2 linked regions of the Canis lupus familiaris genome follow. Each later gene encodes a partner of the first gene's protein in a complex. Links are inferred from orthologs where the notes say so. Each region holds a gene or a part of one and is shown in the gene's direction. Other genes may lie near its edges.

Region 1 (8,544 bases):
AGCCTAATCTCTAAAACACCAATCATTTTTTAACACTATGAAGCATAGGAGATGTCATAGATTTAACCTCTCTTTCTCAAGGAATATGGTTTCAAAGTGGAGAGGTAATTAGAACTTGTAAAAATAAACTTGAATTTCAGAAAAATTACAATTTTAGTACAGAAATTAAGAAAACTCTGTTTCACTTGGCTGGTGTTTTTGTTTTTTGAGTTCTGAAGTAATCTTATTTCCAAAAATTTGGGGGTTTTTTGTTTTCTTGCTGTATCAGTTTTTGTTACAATCTACATACAATACTGAATAACTCAGATGCAGTCAGTTCATCCTTTTCTAGATTTCTAATGGCTTCTGCAAAAGTTCATCAAATAATTTTGGAGAAACAATATAGAATTGCTTTATTGTAATTCTTCCCTACATTTTCATCCTCAGTGCACTTAGTGAGCACCTACTATACGCCAACCACCACCCTGAGTGAGGTAGCTGTGATCAAAATTGGCAAAGCTCCTGCTTTTATAAAACCTATTATTCTGTAAGAGACATACAGATGTATTTTTTGCTTTTTAAAAAGCAATTCTAGGGGTGCCTGGGTGACTCAGTAGGTTAAGCATCTGCCTTCAGCTCGGGTCATGATCCTGAGGTCCTGGGAATCAAGTCCCACTCCCCAGGCTCCTTGCTCAAAGTGGAATCCACTTGTCCTTCTCCCTCTGCCCCTCTTCTCATGCTCTTTCTCTTGTGTGTTCACTGTCTCTCAAATAAATAAGCAACTATATTTAGGTTTAAATTGCAGGCAGTAAAATGGACACATCATAAGTGAATGAATTTTTACAAATGTATGCACTCATCTAATTACTACCATAATCAAGATCCAGAACATTTTTTATTTTTTATTTTTTTATTTTTATTTTTATTTTTTAAATTTTTATTTATTTATGATAGTCACAGAGAGAGAGAGAGAGAGGCAGAGACACAGGCAGAGGGAGAAGCAGGCTCCATGCACTGGGAGCCCGACGTGGGATTCGATCCCGGGTCTCCAGGATCGCGCCCTGGGTCAAAGGCAGGCGCCAAACCGCTGCGCCACCCAGGGATCCCCAGAACATTTAATAATAAGATTTTATTTCTTTTACTCATGAGAGACACAGAAAGAGGCAGAGACACAGGCAGCAGAGGGAGAAGCAGGCTCCCTGCGGGGAGCCTGATGTGGGATTTGATCCTAGGACCCCGGGATCATGACCTGAGCCAAAGGCAGATGCTCAACCACTGAGCCATCCAGGTGCCCCACATTTTTCTTTTTTAGAGTTTCATATAAATGGAAACATAGTCATTTGCTTCTACTCTTGATTTCATTTGCTCAACATAATGTTTTTTCAGATTCATGTTTTTGCATGTCAAGTAGTTCACACCCGTGTTTTGGTAATTATTATTACATTGTACAGATAAGCCACAGATTGTTTATCCATTCACCAGCTGATGAATATTTAGGTTGTTTCCTGTTTTGGATTACTAAAAATGAAGCTACGAAAAGTAATGTACAAGTGGAAATGATATGGGAGAGCTAGGTTCTTGTCTCATGGGGTCAAAGAATGAATCTTGCTGACAACGGAGTGTGAGTAAAGTGATAGAAGTTTATTAAGCAAAGATACAGACAAAGCTCTCAGAAGTGAGAATGGATCCAACAAGGTTGCCCCTGAAGGGTTTTTTGGCTGTTTTTTTACTGAGAACCTAACCAGGGAGCCTATGGCTTTGGGTTTCTTCATGCTTTCTTGAGTGAATGTCATATGGCTGTTTTTGGGTCTGGTGAGTTTCTGTGATTGCTTGGTAACCATCAAACGGGAGAGACTCCCTACATTTTAGATCTAGGGAGCCTGATTTTTTTTTTCTTTTCTATTTTTACTGTCTTAATCTATTTCCTTGGGATGGGTAGGAGCCTGACTTTGGGCCTTTCCCTTATTTTTCCCTGCCTAGCTTCATCTGCCCCTAACTCATTCCGACTTCAGAAACGTTTTCATAGGACAGTCCCAGTGGTGCAGTGGTTAGTTCCTGCCTTCAGCCCCGGGGTGTGATCCTGGAGACCGGGGATCAAGTCCCACGTCGGGCTCCCTGCATGGAGCCTGCTTCTCCCTCTGCCCGTGCCTCTGCTTCTCTCTCTGTGTACGTCTCTGATGAATAAATAAAATCTTAAAAAAAAAGAAACATTTTCATATTTCTAAGAAAATACCTGGGAGTGAAATTGCTGGATCAAGTGATAGTGTATGATCGATTTTCTGGTAAAATACAAACTCAATCAAAGTGACTGCACTATTTTACATTCTTACCAGCAACAGATGAGAGGTCCAGTTGCTCTAAGTCCTTGTCAACATTTGGTGTCGTCTTTTAAATTTTGGCCATTTCAATGGAAATGTAGTAGTAAAGGTGTTTTCTTATTCCTGCCATTCTACTTACATAATACCACTCTAAAATGGATCATGAATACATTTTAAGAAAAACTTAAAACGTTTACAAGTCTGAAAGAAAATGGCTTGGTTGACTGCATATATTTTGTTTCTATTTTCCCTCAGGAATCCTCCAGGCTCTCTAGGACGCCTGAATCCTGTGTCAGGCCGCACTAGCTCGGTGAAACTCACACTCAGGCTTTTCTTGCACGGACACAACTGCCAAGGTCTACAAGGACTTTCCCGGGTCTTTCCCGCCTTACCGTCACCTTTCTAATAATTTCCCAGGGAGCCGCGCGGGGAGGGGCGGGGCTCAGACCCCCCCCAAGCTCCACCCCTCCCCGGGACCCGCCCACCACCCGGGAGTAGGCTTGAGGCAGGGGAAGGAAGGTAGCTTCCGGTCTCGCGATTGGCTCTAATCCCGCGAGAAGAGAAGACGGCAGCCATCGGTGGCAATGGTGAGGGAGGGGGTGTGGCCGGGGCGCGCGAAGTCCCCAGGAGTGAGGGAGAGGGGGCGGGTCGCGCGCACCGGGCGTACGCATGCGCGCACGGGGCGGCCGGGCTGGGCTGAGAGGGGAGGGGGCGGCGGCGGCGGCGGCGGCGGCTGAGGCGGCTGAGGCGGCGTCGTTATTTCCGCGGTCTGGACGGTGCGTGGCGGCGCGGGTGGCCACGGGAGAAGTAGGTAGGGACTGCCGGTGCAGAGCCATTGACTCTCCCTTCCTCCTGCGTCCTAGAGCCGCAGCCCCCCGCGCGTGTGGCGGACCCTGGGGACGCCAGGTCACCCTGCGGCCCCGGCCTCCCGCCGCGCTTCAGGTAGGAGCTGCAGGCTCTCCGGTGTCCGCTGCCCGCCGCCCGCCGAGGCCCCGGCCTTGCCCGGTGTTGCCCGGGCGACGACCCGGCACCGGGCGTGCCCGCCCTCCCGCGCGACGACAGCTCTGTCCTTGCTTCCGCGCCCTGTGGGGCCGGGGCCGGCGCCGGGCCCGGCCGGGCTGACCCGGGGAAGGTGGTCGTGGGGCGGGTCCCGCCTCAGGTGCGCAGCCGCTCTGGGCCGGGCGAGTAGGTGCCCTGCGGGGCGCTCCCGCCCTCGGTGCCCGCCGTGCGAGGCTGTGCGGGGTCCTGCCGGGCCCGGAGAGCTCCGGGCACGTGAGGGACCACCCTGACTCAATAGTTGCCTCGTGGGCCCCGGGCTGCGAGAGGCGGCTCTGAAGAGTGCCTTCCTCATTTGTGTCCGGTGTGCAAAGTTGAAAGCTCTGGAGTTCATCCTGCTTGGGCCAGTGGTGGGGGGGTGGCTTCTGATTTTTTTCCTTGGATGGTGGGAAGGCAAGCTCTTAAAAGCCCTTGTAGGTGCTCGGCTATTAGTAAATAAGCAGCAGTGCTTTTAACGTAAGGTTTAATTGCGTTAAGGTTTTTTTATTTTATTTTTTATTTTTTTTATTTCCCAGTTGCCACTATCAAACTCCGATGAAGTCTGGCAGTTTAGTAAGACTTCCATCCAGGACTTGAGTGAACACACATGGCTTGCAAATAGTCTTGCCCTGAAAGCCACAATCTCTTTTACACCAGTGTTAATTTTATAGGCATTATGGTCATGAAAGCTTCTGTAGAAGATGATGATTCAGGATGGGAGCTCAGTATACCAGAAAAGATGGAAAAAAGCAATACAAGCTGGGTGGACATAACCCAAGATTTTGAAGAAGCTTGTCGAGGTGAGTTTGAATTCTTGGGTTAGAAATTAACAACCTGGGAAAAGGTAAAATAAAATCTTGTGATTTGTAGACTCAAACGTAAGCAACAGGTAAGTGTGGTTTATCAAGTTTGTTAACCACACTTATTCATTCCTTACCCTCTTAATAATTTTAACTTTCATTTAAAGCCAGTATTTGATAGTGCATGAAATACAGATGTTGAAGCAGTTGCTTCAGTTTTTCTAGCCTTAACAGATGAGAGAGTACATGGCAATAATTTCAGACTGTGCAAACATGAATTGTCTTGACCTAAAGATGGTGGACTATTATATGTTTGAGATTTGTAAATAATCAGATCACATTATTTCCTGTCTAAGAGCCTGTAGTGGCTTCCTGTTCAATATAGAATAAAATCCATATTCCATCCCCGTGGCCTGTGTGGTCTGATGCCTGTCTACCACTGACTTCATTTCTGTACCACTGCCCAACTAGGCTCATTATGTTAGTCACAATGTCCTTTCTATGCCATTAAGCTCACCAGGGCATTTTCCCCTTGGGCCTCTGCATATTTCTTTTTCTGTATCTTAAACTGCTTTGCCTCCAGGTCTTTACCTTCACATAGCTGGCTCCTTCCTGGCCAGTTAAATGCTAGCTCCCCAGGGAGGATGTCTCCAAACAATTAATCTAAGTAGATTTAGTAGATTTAGCCCTGTTCTCTTCTGTCCGACTCTACCTCACCTGAATCACTCTGTTTTATTTATTTTTTATTATAATACTTATATACTATCAGAAGCTGTCCTTTCAGTTATTTCTTGTTTACTGTCAGCCCTACCCACTGGAACATAAAGCTCTGTGAGTGCAGACATTTTGTCTGTAAGCCTAACACAGAGAACATTGCCTGGAACATAGTAATGGTTTAACAAATGCAAAGGCATAAATGATTAGAGAAGTGAGCATATTTGTTGTCTGAGGAGAATGGGTCTTAGGGAGAGACAGGAAAGAGACAAATGGTAGAGTGGGAGGGGTGCCTGGGGGGCTCAGTTGTTTAAGCAGCTGCCTCCTGCTCAGTTCCTGTGATCAAGCCCCACTTCAGGAACCTACCTCTTCCTTTCCCTCTGCCCTCCCCATGTGCCTCCCTCCCCACTGTGCTCTCTTGCTCATGCTCTCAAATAAATAAATAAAATTTTTTTGGAAAAAAAAATGGTAGAGTGAGAGATTGAATTTGAAGAGAGGATGGGATAAAGAACATGGTAGAGAAATTAACTTAGGGGACCAGAATGAGGAATTACTGAGACAGGAGGAACTGAGGTTAGGATTGGTGAAGAAACAGGTAGATTTCTAAACGAGTGGGGAGGAATGGTAGAGGGATACACACCCTGATGGCTTCTCTGTTTTTACTAAACTGAAGGTTAAGTCTTCGTTGTTGATGAGATGGAGTGTTTAGAATAGTGCCCTTAGAAGGAGGAGTAGAGACTCGGAGTAGCTGCAGGTGGTAAGGGAGTCAGCTGGGCATAAGCAAAATGATAACACGTGCACTGACCCTTTGTTATGAAACGTGTCCATTTAAAGAAAGCAAAAGTGAAATTGTGGAAAGAATATTAGACTGGAAATTGGGGGATTGCCCATATCCATCTATCCAAGGGAGAGAGAAAGAAGTGTAAGTTACAGTGTAATTTCTGTGCCCAGAGATCTTAAACTGTTGATGGATTATGCCCGTCATCCTGCACTGATTTTTAAGTGATCTATATTAGAGGGTTGTTGTTCTGAACCTAAATGGAAAAGGCTTTATGAAGTTCATATGGCTTGAGTTGGGCCTTAGAGGAGTGGTGGAGTTTCTGTAAGTGAATATGAGGGAATTATTCTAGACTCAGATGAACTGTTACTCTCACCAGAGTTCATGAGAGTTGGATATTTGAGGGAGAGTGAGTAATTTTGCTTCCTCATGAGCAGAACCTTAAATAGGCAATATGGTTTTATTCCTGTCTCAGTGGGGATTGAGGAGGGGGAGCATGTCATTTTGTTGCCAACCTCAAACCATCCTATTAACTTTTCAATAATTAGCTCTTGCTTGGTCTGAAGTGGCACAGATGTGAGGTATATTTGAAATGAAAAAGTTGATGTAGAAGTGATCTTCCTTTACATATAGATTTAGGACTAAAGTCTTTTGGGAGCTCTTGAGCCTATATTATTAATAATTTGTTTTCTTGAAATCAGATTCATAGCATTAATTTAGCTTAGACTCCAGCAGCTTTCTGAGGGCTAAATTTAAAACAAATATTATACCCTGTAACTGTTGCAGTGGTCTTTCCTCTTCAGTAACAGTGCGATGGTATTTGACTAGACCTTGGGGATTATTTATTTTGGTACCGAGAAAGCAATCTGCATAGTGATGACAGTGTTTTTCATGTACATTTCTATCTGTTCTTTTAGTGACTCTTCGAAGTCTTCTGGACCAAATTCTAATTTCATCACTTCTTTTATTTCCTGTTAGGCAGATGGCACACATTCCCTCCACATTTCCTATTTTCAACATTGAGGCCCTTGGCCTTTTTTGGGGGGTAGGAGGGCTTTTTTTCCCCCCTTAAATTATTTTGAATATATGGTGCTATTACTGTTACTGTGCCTGGTATGTAACATGTCATTTATCTAACACTTCTGAGCTTTGCTTCTCTAGGAAACTGCCTAATTCAAACCATCTCATTGCCTCCTATAAAAAGTCTTTGATCTTCATATTTCATTTGGTTGTCTAAAATTAGGTGCTTTCTGAAGTACAAACCTACAACTTAAATGATCATAAAATATATATTGCTCATTCTTCTACCTATCAGATTCTTTTCTTCCACACTGTTTATCCTAGATTGATGACACTGTCAGGTATCTAGAACTCAGAGGTAATCCAAGGTTGGCTGTCATTACTTCCATTCTTTTTGAGCTTTAGTCTAGAATGAAATGGGCCTATCCTGTCATTTCATATCCTTCTCTCTTTGATGGTTTTACTCATTCCTCCTCTGTCTTTCTCACCCCATGTTTTAAGGCCCCATCACTTATCCAGTTTGTCCCACTCTTGCCCAGTACTTTTGGAAAACTTTTATTGATTTCTCTTCCTCTTTTAAAACCTAGGATTCTTAAGTTTCTTGTTCCTTTTCCTTTTTGTGTTGTCTTCTCTCATTTAGAATGTTTGTAGATCCTAAGATATATTTGTTTAAAGAGTGAATGAAAGGTGCCTGGGTGTCTCAATTGGTTAGCGTCTCCTTTGGCTCAGGTTATGATCCCAGGGTCCTGGAATGAAGCCCAGCATTGGGCTCCCTGCTTAGCGAGGAGTCTGCTTCTCACTCTCCCTCTGCCTCTTCTGCTGCACGTGCCCACTCTCGTGCAGGCGCTTTTTCTCTCAGATAAATAAAATATATATATATATTTTTAGATATTTATTTATTTATTTATTTATTTATTTATTTATTTATTTATTTATTTATTTTATGAGAGACACAGAGAAAGAGAGAGGCAGAGAACACAGGCAGAGGGAGAAGCAGGCTCCATGCAGGGTTCCCGATGTGGGACTCAATCCTTGGTCTCCAGGATCAGGCCCTGGACTGAAGGCGGCGCTAAACAGCTGAGCCACCCAGGGTTCCTCAGATAAATAAAATCTTAAAAAAAAAAAAAAAAAAAATTTAAGGCCATGTTTCTTCATATTAGAGTATCTGGATATTGTACTTCAGAGGTTTGAGAACCACTGGATTACATTAAATGCTATCATTTTGGGTGATTGCCTGAAACCAATGTAATTACGAACACAAGATTGGGAACTGAAATTATAGCAATACTTGATTATAATGTTAGTATCCATTTGGTAATCTGTAATCTTCTTAAAAAATTATCACCAAACTGATTACATGGCATTTAACAATTATCTTAAACAAAACATAGATTCTTGATAAAACTTTCATGGACTCCTCTGCTGAATTTATAAACCCCAATCTGAGAGTCCTTGTTCTAGGAATTTGCTGTTTGTATTACTTTATTCAAGAAGAAAAAGATGGAAATGGCTTGGTGAAAGATCTGGGCAAATCTAAGTAAGTATATTGGGCAAAGATCTGTAAAGAAAATTTTAAGTGATTCTGATTTTGGAAATTTATGTTTTCCTTGTTACATCTTCTCAATGTTTTCAGTGGTGGGGCATGGGTGGGGTGGGCTGTACTAGTAATTGTGGGTCACTTTAGATCAGCGATTATCTGCCAGGGTTGATTTTGCTTCTTAAGGAACATTTGCCAATGTCTTGCAACATTTTTGGTCGTCACAGTAGGAGGCGGGTGGCTGCTGGTGTCTAGTGGGTACACACCAAGGATACTGCACTGGATAGCCCCCACAAAGAAGTAATTGTTTTGCACAAAATGCCAACAGTGCTGTGTAGTTCACTCTATTTAGGTTACTTTCAA
Region 2 (8,572 bases), on another chromosome or scaffold:
AACTTTTCTCCTTCAGGAAGTTGCTTTAGGCTAGTACTTCAAAATTGCTGTTGGTTATTTTAATTGATTTAATGAGGAGTTTTTTCTTCTAAAAAACTTAAATGTGTCCTTTCATTGTTCAAAAGAGAACAAAGACAATAGTTAAGACAATAATAATTAAGACAATAGTTAATACGTGACTATTGCATCATAAGATATGACAAAACAATGAAAATACCAATTATCCAGATAGAAGACTATCACTGGTTACACCTTCCCTGCTCCAAGACCATTCCTTCCTCTGAAGTCATTGCACACAGAGATAGTTGTCTTTTCAGAACCTCATTATAGGCAAATGTGCCTAAAGTGTTAGAGTGAACTAATCCTATTTTCACACCTAAAATAATGCTGCCATAAGCATATTACTCACAAACATGAATAAAAAAGAAAAGATTTTTACAAATATAAGGGATAGGTTTCTTAGAGAAGTCTTCTGACTTAGAAGATCATCATTGGGATTTTAATAGGATATAAAGCAGAGTCACTGGAGCTTAGATACCAGATATCTTATTAACTTATCAACTAGCAAGCAGGCCAGAATTTACTCTGTAATTATAAGCATTCTCAATTGCTGAGAGAATAGCATATGTAGTAAAAAAAATAAAAAACAAAAAACCCAGACAAGTCTCATGTATTAGATATGTGAATAATACGTAAATAAGACTCAGTCACTGACCTCTAGAAGGTCTTTATAACTCTTGTCTTTCTGAAAATAACTGTGAGACAACATTAAGTGAACTCCTCAGTGTGAGAAAGCTCAGTACCAAGTTACAGTATAGAAAGAACATTAAGACTTGCCGTCACTCATTCATTACATGGAGTCACATCTTTTTTAGGACAGGGTTATACTCCACAGATAATGAGATACATTTTTCTAAGTAAAAAAGATCCTTCAATATGTCTTGGGGAATTGTATGGAACCATTTTGGCCATTTTTTTTTTCCTGCATGACTTGAACAGATCATTGTTTGTTTGTTTGTTTGTTTGTTTTCAATTTACTCATGAGAGACACAGAGAGAGAGGCAGAGACACAGGCAGAGGCAGAAGCAGACTCCGATGCGGGATTCGGCCCTAGGACCCCAGGATCATGACCTGAGCCGAAGGCAGGTGCTCAACCACTGAGCCACCCAGGCACCCCCAGATCATTGTTTCTTTGACTTTGAACCTACGTCATTTGAAAAATATGCATTGTTAAACAATGTATGTGCATTTGGAAATACGGTTTTTGTCTTAGTTTTTAAAAACCATAAATGGGATCCCATTGTACTTATTTGTTTACTTTATCTCTTTAGGGTGTTTTAGAGGTCTTAAGCACCAAAATGGCCACAGCAATATTTCTGGTTCCACATGCTCTTTAAAAACCTTGCCTCTCCTCATCAAAAAGTATGGTTTATTTCCCCTGCCTGTGAACCTGGATGAGGCTTTGTGAGGTCCTAGAGAAATAGAAGGTGGCACAACTGACACTGCATGACTTCTAAGGCAGATAAAAGAGAATATGCTCCTACCTGGCTCTCCTTCTCTTGGGATACTCACCCTGGGAACCTAGCCATCATGCTGTGAAAAAGCCCAAAGCAGTCCATATTAAGAGACCACCTGGAGAGGTCTACATGGAGTTGAGCTGAGGTTTCCAGCCAGCAGCCTCCAGCCAGTATCAATCACCAACATGAAAGTGAAAAGTTTTCAGATGATTCTAATCCTCAGACTTCCAGTTGAGGCCCTATGCATAAGGGAACAGAGAAAAGTCATTCCTGCTGTGCTGTCTGAATTCTTGACTCACAGAATCTGTTGGCATAATAAATGGTTGTTTTATAACACTGGGTTGTGGGGATAATTTGCAATGCAGTCATAGTAACTGGAAGTGTACCAATACATTCTATTATAGTCCATGTATTAGGTATCATAAGCTTATTTTAATCATTCCTGTATTAATAGATACAAAGGTGGTTTGGACTTATTTTTTCCGATTATAGACAAGGCTGAAATAAATGTCAATATTTCTATAAAAAACCTATAAATCAGTTTTTATTAAAACTTATGAGTCAATAAATACTTGTAAGATACTTAGAACAGGACTTGGTACATAGTAACATATTTTATTATTTTTTATCACTATCGACTGAACTTCTATATGGAAGGTGGTAGTTTGTCCTTACTATCTTTAGTGACAAGGATCCTAAAAATTGTATCCTAATAGCTATGCTACAGTGTATCCCACTTTCTAGAGTTCATGCCATGGCAGGAAGTTGCAAACATAAGCAGTCACAGAATTATGTCCCTGAAGACGTCCATCTGCGGCTGACATGACTGGCTCTACAAACGGGTCTTCGAAAAGCTTGAATTCGCTCCGTGTGGTGGAGAGTTACAAGAACAGACCTGCTGGGCATCACCATTTGCGGGCTAGGGAGGAAAAGAGCGGGGCCACACGCTCAAGTGCGTGCCGCGGTGCTTTTCCTTTTGCAACGCGCCTGGGCCGACCGCTGGGTGGAGCGAGTGCGGAGCGAGCTTCAGGGCATTACTTTCCCGGTGACAGTTCTTGTCACAAGTTTAGAAACGCGCTTTTCTGGCCGTTTTCACTCTCCTCCACCATCTCTTAAGCCTTCCCTAGACGCGCTTGCATCTGTCCAGCACCTTTATCTCCAAATCACATTTACCTCCGAATTCCTGGGTGGGGTGAAGGCGGGTAAAGAGAGAGGAGGGGGACTACCTGTCCACCTTCCCTGGTCTCAAAGGGGCAGACGAGTTAAGCTTAATTCACACTACAAACAAACCAGTTTTCAACCCCCTCCTAACGTCCTCTCTTTTCTCCTTTATTTATTTAATTTATAAACTAATATAATTAATTTATCCCTATTTAGTTTTGCTCCACTTTCAAGGGACTCAGGTAACCACCCTCCTTCCTCCGCCCTCCTCCCCGGGTCTGGGGAAACGCAGGAGCGCGGAGGAAGAGCATCTTTAGGGGACTCCCGCGCGGCCGGGTCGGCAGGCCTCCAGCGGGCCGGCTTCGCGGCAGCTCCGCGGGGGCGGGAGGGCGGGCGGGCGCGCTTGCAACCCCCGAGCTCCGGTCCCGCCCCCTGCTCTCCCCGGCCCGGCGTCAGGAGCTCCGCGGGCGGCGGCGGAGTCCCAAAGCCGAGGACGCGCGGCCGGGGAGCCGGAGACTCCAAAGCCCTCCGCAGCTTCCCCGCCCCGCTGCCCCACCCGTCAGCACGCGGCCCCCGCCCGGGGCCCGCAGGAGACACCTCCGTCCCCGCCCCTCCACAGGTCACCTCCCTCCACGCCCCTTTCCCTTGGCCCCGGCAGCCGGCAGGCAGGGAAGTGTCGTAAAGCCAGGCCTAGGAAACTTTACCCGGGGTAACAGCCGAGGCGCTTTACGGCGACGGCGGCTGAGTGTGAACCTTGGCGGCGGTGGAGGCGGCCGCGGCGGCGGAGGAGGCGGCGGCGGCGGCGGCTGAGGAGGAAGAGGAGTGGCGGCAGTGGCGGCGGGGACCTGTGCGGGGTGAGCCGCGCGGCGCGGGCAGGGAGGGGCGCGGGTGACAGGGCCGGCGGACGGGTGCGGGCGGACGGGGACGGTGGCCGGCTGAACAGCTGGGCGGCGCTGAAGAGCGGGGGGGCCCGCGGCCCTGGGGAATTGGGGGGGCCGCTCCGAGAGGGACGGTCTCTGCCTTTGTTCCCCCCCCACACCGTCGCCGCCGCCCCCTCTGCTGCGGCGCGCTCGTCCGCCGGCTCTCATGGCCTCCCCTCTCGGTCTGTGTCGCCTCTAGGATGGCGGAGGTACCGCCTGGGCCTAGCAGCCTCCTCCCACCACCAGCACCTCCGGCCTCGGCGGCGGCCGAGCCCCGCTGCCCCTTCCCGGCGGGGGCCGCCCTCGCCTGCTGCAGCGAGGACGAGGAGGACGACGAGGAGCACGAAGGCGGCGGCGGCGGCGGCGGCGGCAGCGGCAGCGGCAGCGGTAGGAGCCCGGCGGGCGGCGAGGCGGCGGCGGCGGCGGCGGCCAAGGGGCATCCGTGCCTTCGCTGCCCTCAGCCGCCGCAGGAGCAGCAGCAGCTCAACGGATTGATCAGCCCCGAACTGCGGCACCTCCGGGCGGCCGCCTCCCTCAAGAGCAAGGTTCTGAGCGCGGCGGAGGCGGCCACGACCACGGCCACCCCCGACGGGGGGCCCAGAGCGACTGCAACAAAAGGAGCTGGGGTACACTCGGGCGAGAGCCCCCCTCACTGCCTCCCCAGTAATGGAAGAACTGCGCTCCCCAGCCCGGCAGAGGCAGTGGCGGCGAGCGATCCTGCGGCGGCCCGCAATGGACTGGCGGAGGGCACCGAGCAGGAGGAAGAGGAGGAAGACCGGCAGGTGCGGCTGCTGTCTTCATCCCTGACCACCGGCTGCAGTTTAAGAAGCCCCTCGGGCAGGGAGGTTGAGCCTGGGGAGGATCGGACGATACGTTATGTCCGATATGAATCCGAGCTACAAATGCCCGATATCATGAGACTGATCACCAAAGATCTGTCTGAACCCTACTCCATTTATACGTATAGATATTTTATCCACAACTGGCCACAGCTGTGCTTCTTGGTAAGTGGATGGAATGCAAAGAGGGTGAACCCAGCAGAGAGATCCAGGCCGTGCGGGGCAGGGAGTGTGAGGGCCGAGAGTGGCAGTGGATGGATGTGTATACTTCTGCGTTTCATATAGTACGGTACATGATGTAAAGTGCGTGTACACACTACCGGTTATTTAATGAAACTTGTTTTGAAGGGAAGACGTCTTGATCTGGCTTAACTTGATACTCCTGTAAATGCAGCAAGCCTGTATGATGCACGTTTGGGGGTCTTGGATCCTTGTTTATATTAGCTTATAATCATGTTTAACCGTCTTTAATTATCCTCCCTCCTCCTCCAAGCACTTTGCAATCATTTAATTTGAACATTGGTTCTGTTCGGATACAGGCTTTATTAATCTCTCAATTACAGCCATAATCAGGGAAGAGTGTATGCATAAACATGTTTTGGTGAACATGATTGTCAGTAAACTTGCTGTGGCCACATTGGAGAATTAAATCTTACAAGCATTTTCTGTTAATACGGAGATAGTTTCCTTTTACTTCAACAGGACAATTAACAGTTGTAGCCGGCCTGCTTTCTGGTGCTAGATGGTGCTACTAACCTTTCTGGTGGCTGAAAGATGACTGAAACTTGAACAAAATATCTTTTTGTGGAAAGTAGGGAACCAAGTGTGAAATCGTTACTAATCTAATTTTTCTCTTTAAGAAACTGGTCTAGGTATACCTAAATACTAGTAGTAACACCGGCTTGTGTAAAGCATAGTTGACAAAATTTTTATACTTACATGTAAGCAAAAAAGATTTGGCTGTGCAACAAGCTAAATAGGTATTTTTAATTTGTATAGTACTGGCAGTACCGTTTTTTTTCCCCAATAACACTGACCAATGTTAGTCTGTATGAAACCTATCACTTAAGTATTAACTGAAGGTATATGCTTTATATCTTTGTGCTCACAGGCATTTTATTGCCATTGAATTTCACTGAGGAAAGGCACTGTGCTTTTAAAAAATGTTTTATGATGTGTAAAGGGAGAAGCTACTACTTTTATTATTTTAGCATTGACTTAGTTGCACATAGCAAATCCCTGCAAGACATTTTGACGGTGCTTTAGAAATCTTTTTGGTTCTATATGTTGGTGGTAACCTGAAAATACAACTTCAGAATGGTAGTTCTGTTATTTTCTGTGGTCACTTTGCTAAACTTCAATTTATTATGTTTGTTTAAATTGTGGGGAACTATCTTACAGTCTACAAAACTGCCCTCCCAGGACTCTAGCAGCCATTGTATCAAAATAGACGTACTTAGACATGCATTGACACAGGCATGTGATCACAGGGAAAGTGATTTTATAGCATTATTATACATGTAAAAGTCAGTGTAATTGCTAAAAATTTACAATTGATTTAACTGTAAGTTTACCCACAAATGCATACAATTGAGCCAAACCTTAAATTGAAATATTATATGTATTTTTGTTAATTACAGAAAATAGTTGTATGTATAATATTTAGTCAGCTTTGGGTTCTGATATTACCTGGGCCCCTCTCAACTTGTCTGCCATTTTAGACTCTGATAAACTTAGTAAATTTTAGTTTTGATATTTCATAGGCTCTTTCCAATTTATCAGCTAATTTGTACTTTAGCTCTTTAATAGCGAGTTGTTTAATGTTAAATTCTGAATCTCTGGAAGGTGAGATACTGTACAGGTGGTTGACATCTAAGATTTACTAGTGCAAGTATGTATCTGCAGGTATTGAACATAAAACAGTAGTTAATCAGAGGCCGTTTAGAATTGGGGCCTTTGGGTTCACGTTTAAAAATTTGAATTTCCTGTAAGAACTAATTAAAAACAAGTTTTAAGTCATATTTTAGAACCATAAAGGATCTTAAATACAGTATAGCTCAACCTCACTTTTTTTTTTTTTTTTTAATGCAAAAAGATTAAGGACCAAAGTGACTTAAAATGTTTAATCTTCAGATATTTAGGGCTGGCTCAATTGGTGGATATGCAACACTTGATCTCAAGGTTGTGAGTTGTGAGTTCAAGTCCTAAGTTGGGTGTAAAAATTATTTAAAAATAAAATCTTAAAAAAAAAAAAAAGCTTCAGATATTTAGTGGCAGAGAGGTAAAGCTAGAATTTTACTTGACGTCTCATGGAAAGAACCTGAAAAATGACATACCCTTGACCCGTTCAGCGAAGATCATTATGTTACCAAGTTATGCTTCATCAAGGGACAGTTCTTACAAACATCAATACTCTAAAGAGATTAAAAACCTCCAAAATGGTTCTCGTTTCCATATAACCTAAAATGGATCAAATAGAATGTATGAGTTCGAAATGAAGAAAGAAAATTGCCAATACTTGACCATATCTAACAAAAACAACAGTTTCTTATGATTCGTCCTAATAATTGTAGAAGATGTGAAAGTAGAGTGCCAGACAAATTGGAGACACTGTCAATTATTATTCTCTTAACTAATTTCTCTCTACGTTTTTTGAGTTCATGGTATTTTCAGCTCTTGGTGCCTTTTGAACTTCTTAAACTTATTACCAGTGATGTAATATTGTCTGTTTATTTTAACTTTCTGGCTTCCTCTGTTTTCCCATATATAGCATTCTGAAATTTGGGAATTTCTGTTTCATGCAACTTGTATTTTTCAAGTTTTATAGATTGGCAAGCACTTGACCTTGTAGTGTTAAGTCTAAATCTTGCCAGGAATTTTTCAGTTCCCATCCTTGAAAAAAGAACACATTTGATAGTATGAGTTCCAAATATGTGCAGAACTTTTATTTGGAGAAATTGACAAGCTGTTTATTGAGTCTTAAAAGTGTATATCCATCAGCAATTTATCAGAAAAAAAGAAGAGCGCAAGTCTTCCTCACTACCAATACCTTATTAGTAACAATATATTATATACTGGGCTTTTCTGCTTTACTGATGCATACCACTTGATATTTGCTCCTACAGATACTTAGTTAGGAAGAAGTCAATCTAGTCCAGTTGTGAACTGATAATACTTTGTTTGCCTGTCACTGCCTAGGTCAAAGGACAAAGATTTGTTTGAAATTCCTATCCAATTTGGAAGTATTGTCCAATTGTATTGTGTATTCTGATTTTTGAAGAAACCTTTCTTGGATGGTTTTCTAACTGAAGTGTAGCTGTCCTACAGTTTTGTATTCTAGATCTATTGGTTTCCATTTTCTCTAATTTATGAGATCAGGTCAAAAAGTTTTTTAATGTATTTGGTTAAACATGTATATAGCACACAAGCAGAATTGTTCGACCAGCCATCTCTTGTGCATATTTCAGGTCTTATTTCAGAAAGAAATTTTAGTTTTCAAAAGAATTTTGATAGAACTTGATTGATTTATTGTGAATGAAAATGGAAGTAGCAATTTTAGAGGTTTACTGGTCCAAAATAGTTCTGGATTGTATGATAAAACAGAAATGAATTAGTGTGGATTGTTGAATTTGATATCCCTTCAAAAAGATTTTTCTGACCTAGTTCAGAAATGGATTAGAATTATCTTGCCTACAAGATTTCTCTACAATTAAAAAAAGGTTTTTTAATCATTTTACAGAATGATGAACTGAAAAATGTCACATCAAAATTAAGTTAAAATTAAGTATTAAGTATAAGCTGGACTTTTTATTTTTTTAACCCAATTCCTGGTTTTTGTTGTTGAAATAGTTTATTCTGAAAATTTAATTTTATTAAGAGATAATTTGAAGTTTTCATATTTTTTTAATGAGTGCTCTTTACAGCAAACACGTATTTCTAGCGAGCTGACACATTATTAAACAATTGGAGCTTTTACCCTATATTTACCAGAATACGAGTATTACAAGAACTTTTCATTGCTGATGGAACTTTTGAAAAAGATTTTTAATGGTAACACTGGAAATCTTAAAATAGGGGATGATTGCATTTATTCAACATATAATCTTTAACAGTCTGGAAAAACATTTTTATTAAA

The links.
Region 2: the proteins of NAA35 (region 1) and NAA30 are in contact, whole or in part, in a cryo-EM structure (PDB 7MX2), measured with the Homo sapiens proteins. The link is inferred for Canis lupus familiaris from reciprocal best matches to the Homo sapiens genes NAA35 and NAA30. Residues at the interface, in NP_001308810.1 of Homo sapiens: Leu45, Gly46, Leu48, Leu56, Ala59, Met60, Ala62, Glu64, Lys69, Glu121, Phe313, Pro314, Arg315, Ala444, Leu510, Glu511, Leu512, Glu517, Pro605, Lys606, Phe607, Glu608, Leu609, Asp610, Val614, Arg615, His618, Arg619; in NP_001011713.2 of Homo sapiens: Glu221, Pro238, Ser240, Tyr242, Thr243, Arg245, Tyr246, His249, Asn250, Lys304, Ile324, Glu334, Asn335, Leu336, Gly337, Val339, Arg340, Asp341, Lys342, Arg343, Phe345, Arg346, Tyr347, Tyr348, Leu349, Leu359, Trp360, Leu361, Arg362.

The regions. Positions count from the first base shown.
Region 1 is NC_049222.1:74,344,669-74,353,212, reverse strand, and holds the start of NAA35 (N-alpha-acetyltransferase 35, NatC auxiliary subunit), read left to right. Parts: upstream 1-4,008; coding exon 4,009-4,132; exon of another isoform or gene 4,133-4,166; intron 4,167-5,486; exon of another isoform or gene 5,487-5,620; intron 5,621-8,544. UniProt on the Homo sapiens protein: Auxillary component of the N-terminal acetyltransferase C (NatC) complex which catalyzes acetylation of N-terminal methionine residues. N-terminal acetylation protects proteins from ubiquitination and degradation by the N-end rule pathway.
Region 2 is NC_049229.1:33,241,758-33,250,329, forward strand, and holds the start of NAA30 (N-alpha-acetyltransferase 30), read left to right. Parts: upstream 1-3,294; 5' UTR 3,295-3,532; intron 3,533-3,797; 5' UTR 3,798-3,798; coding exon 3,799-4,602; intron 4,603-8,572. UniProt on the Homo sapiens protein: Catalytic subunit of the N-terminal acetyltransferase C (NatC) complex. Catalyzes acetylation of the N-terminal methionine residues of peptides beginning with Met-Leu-Ala and Met-Leu-Gly.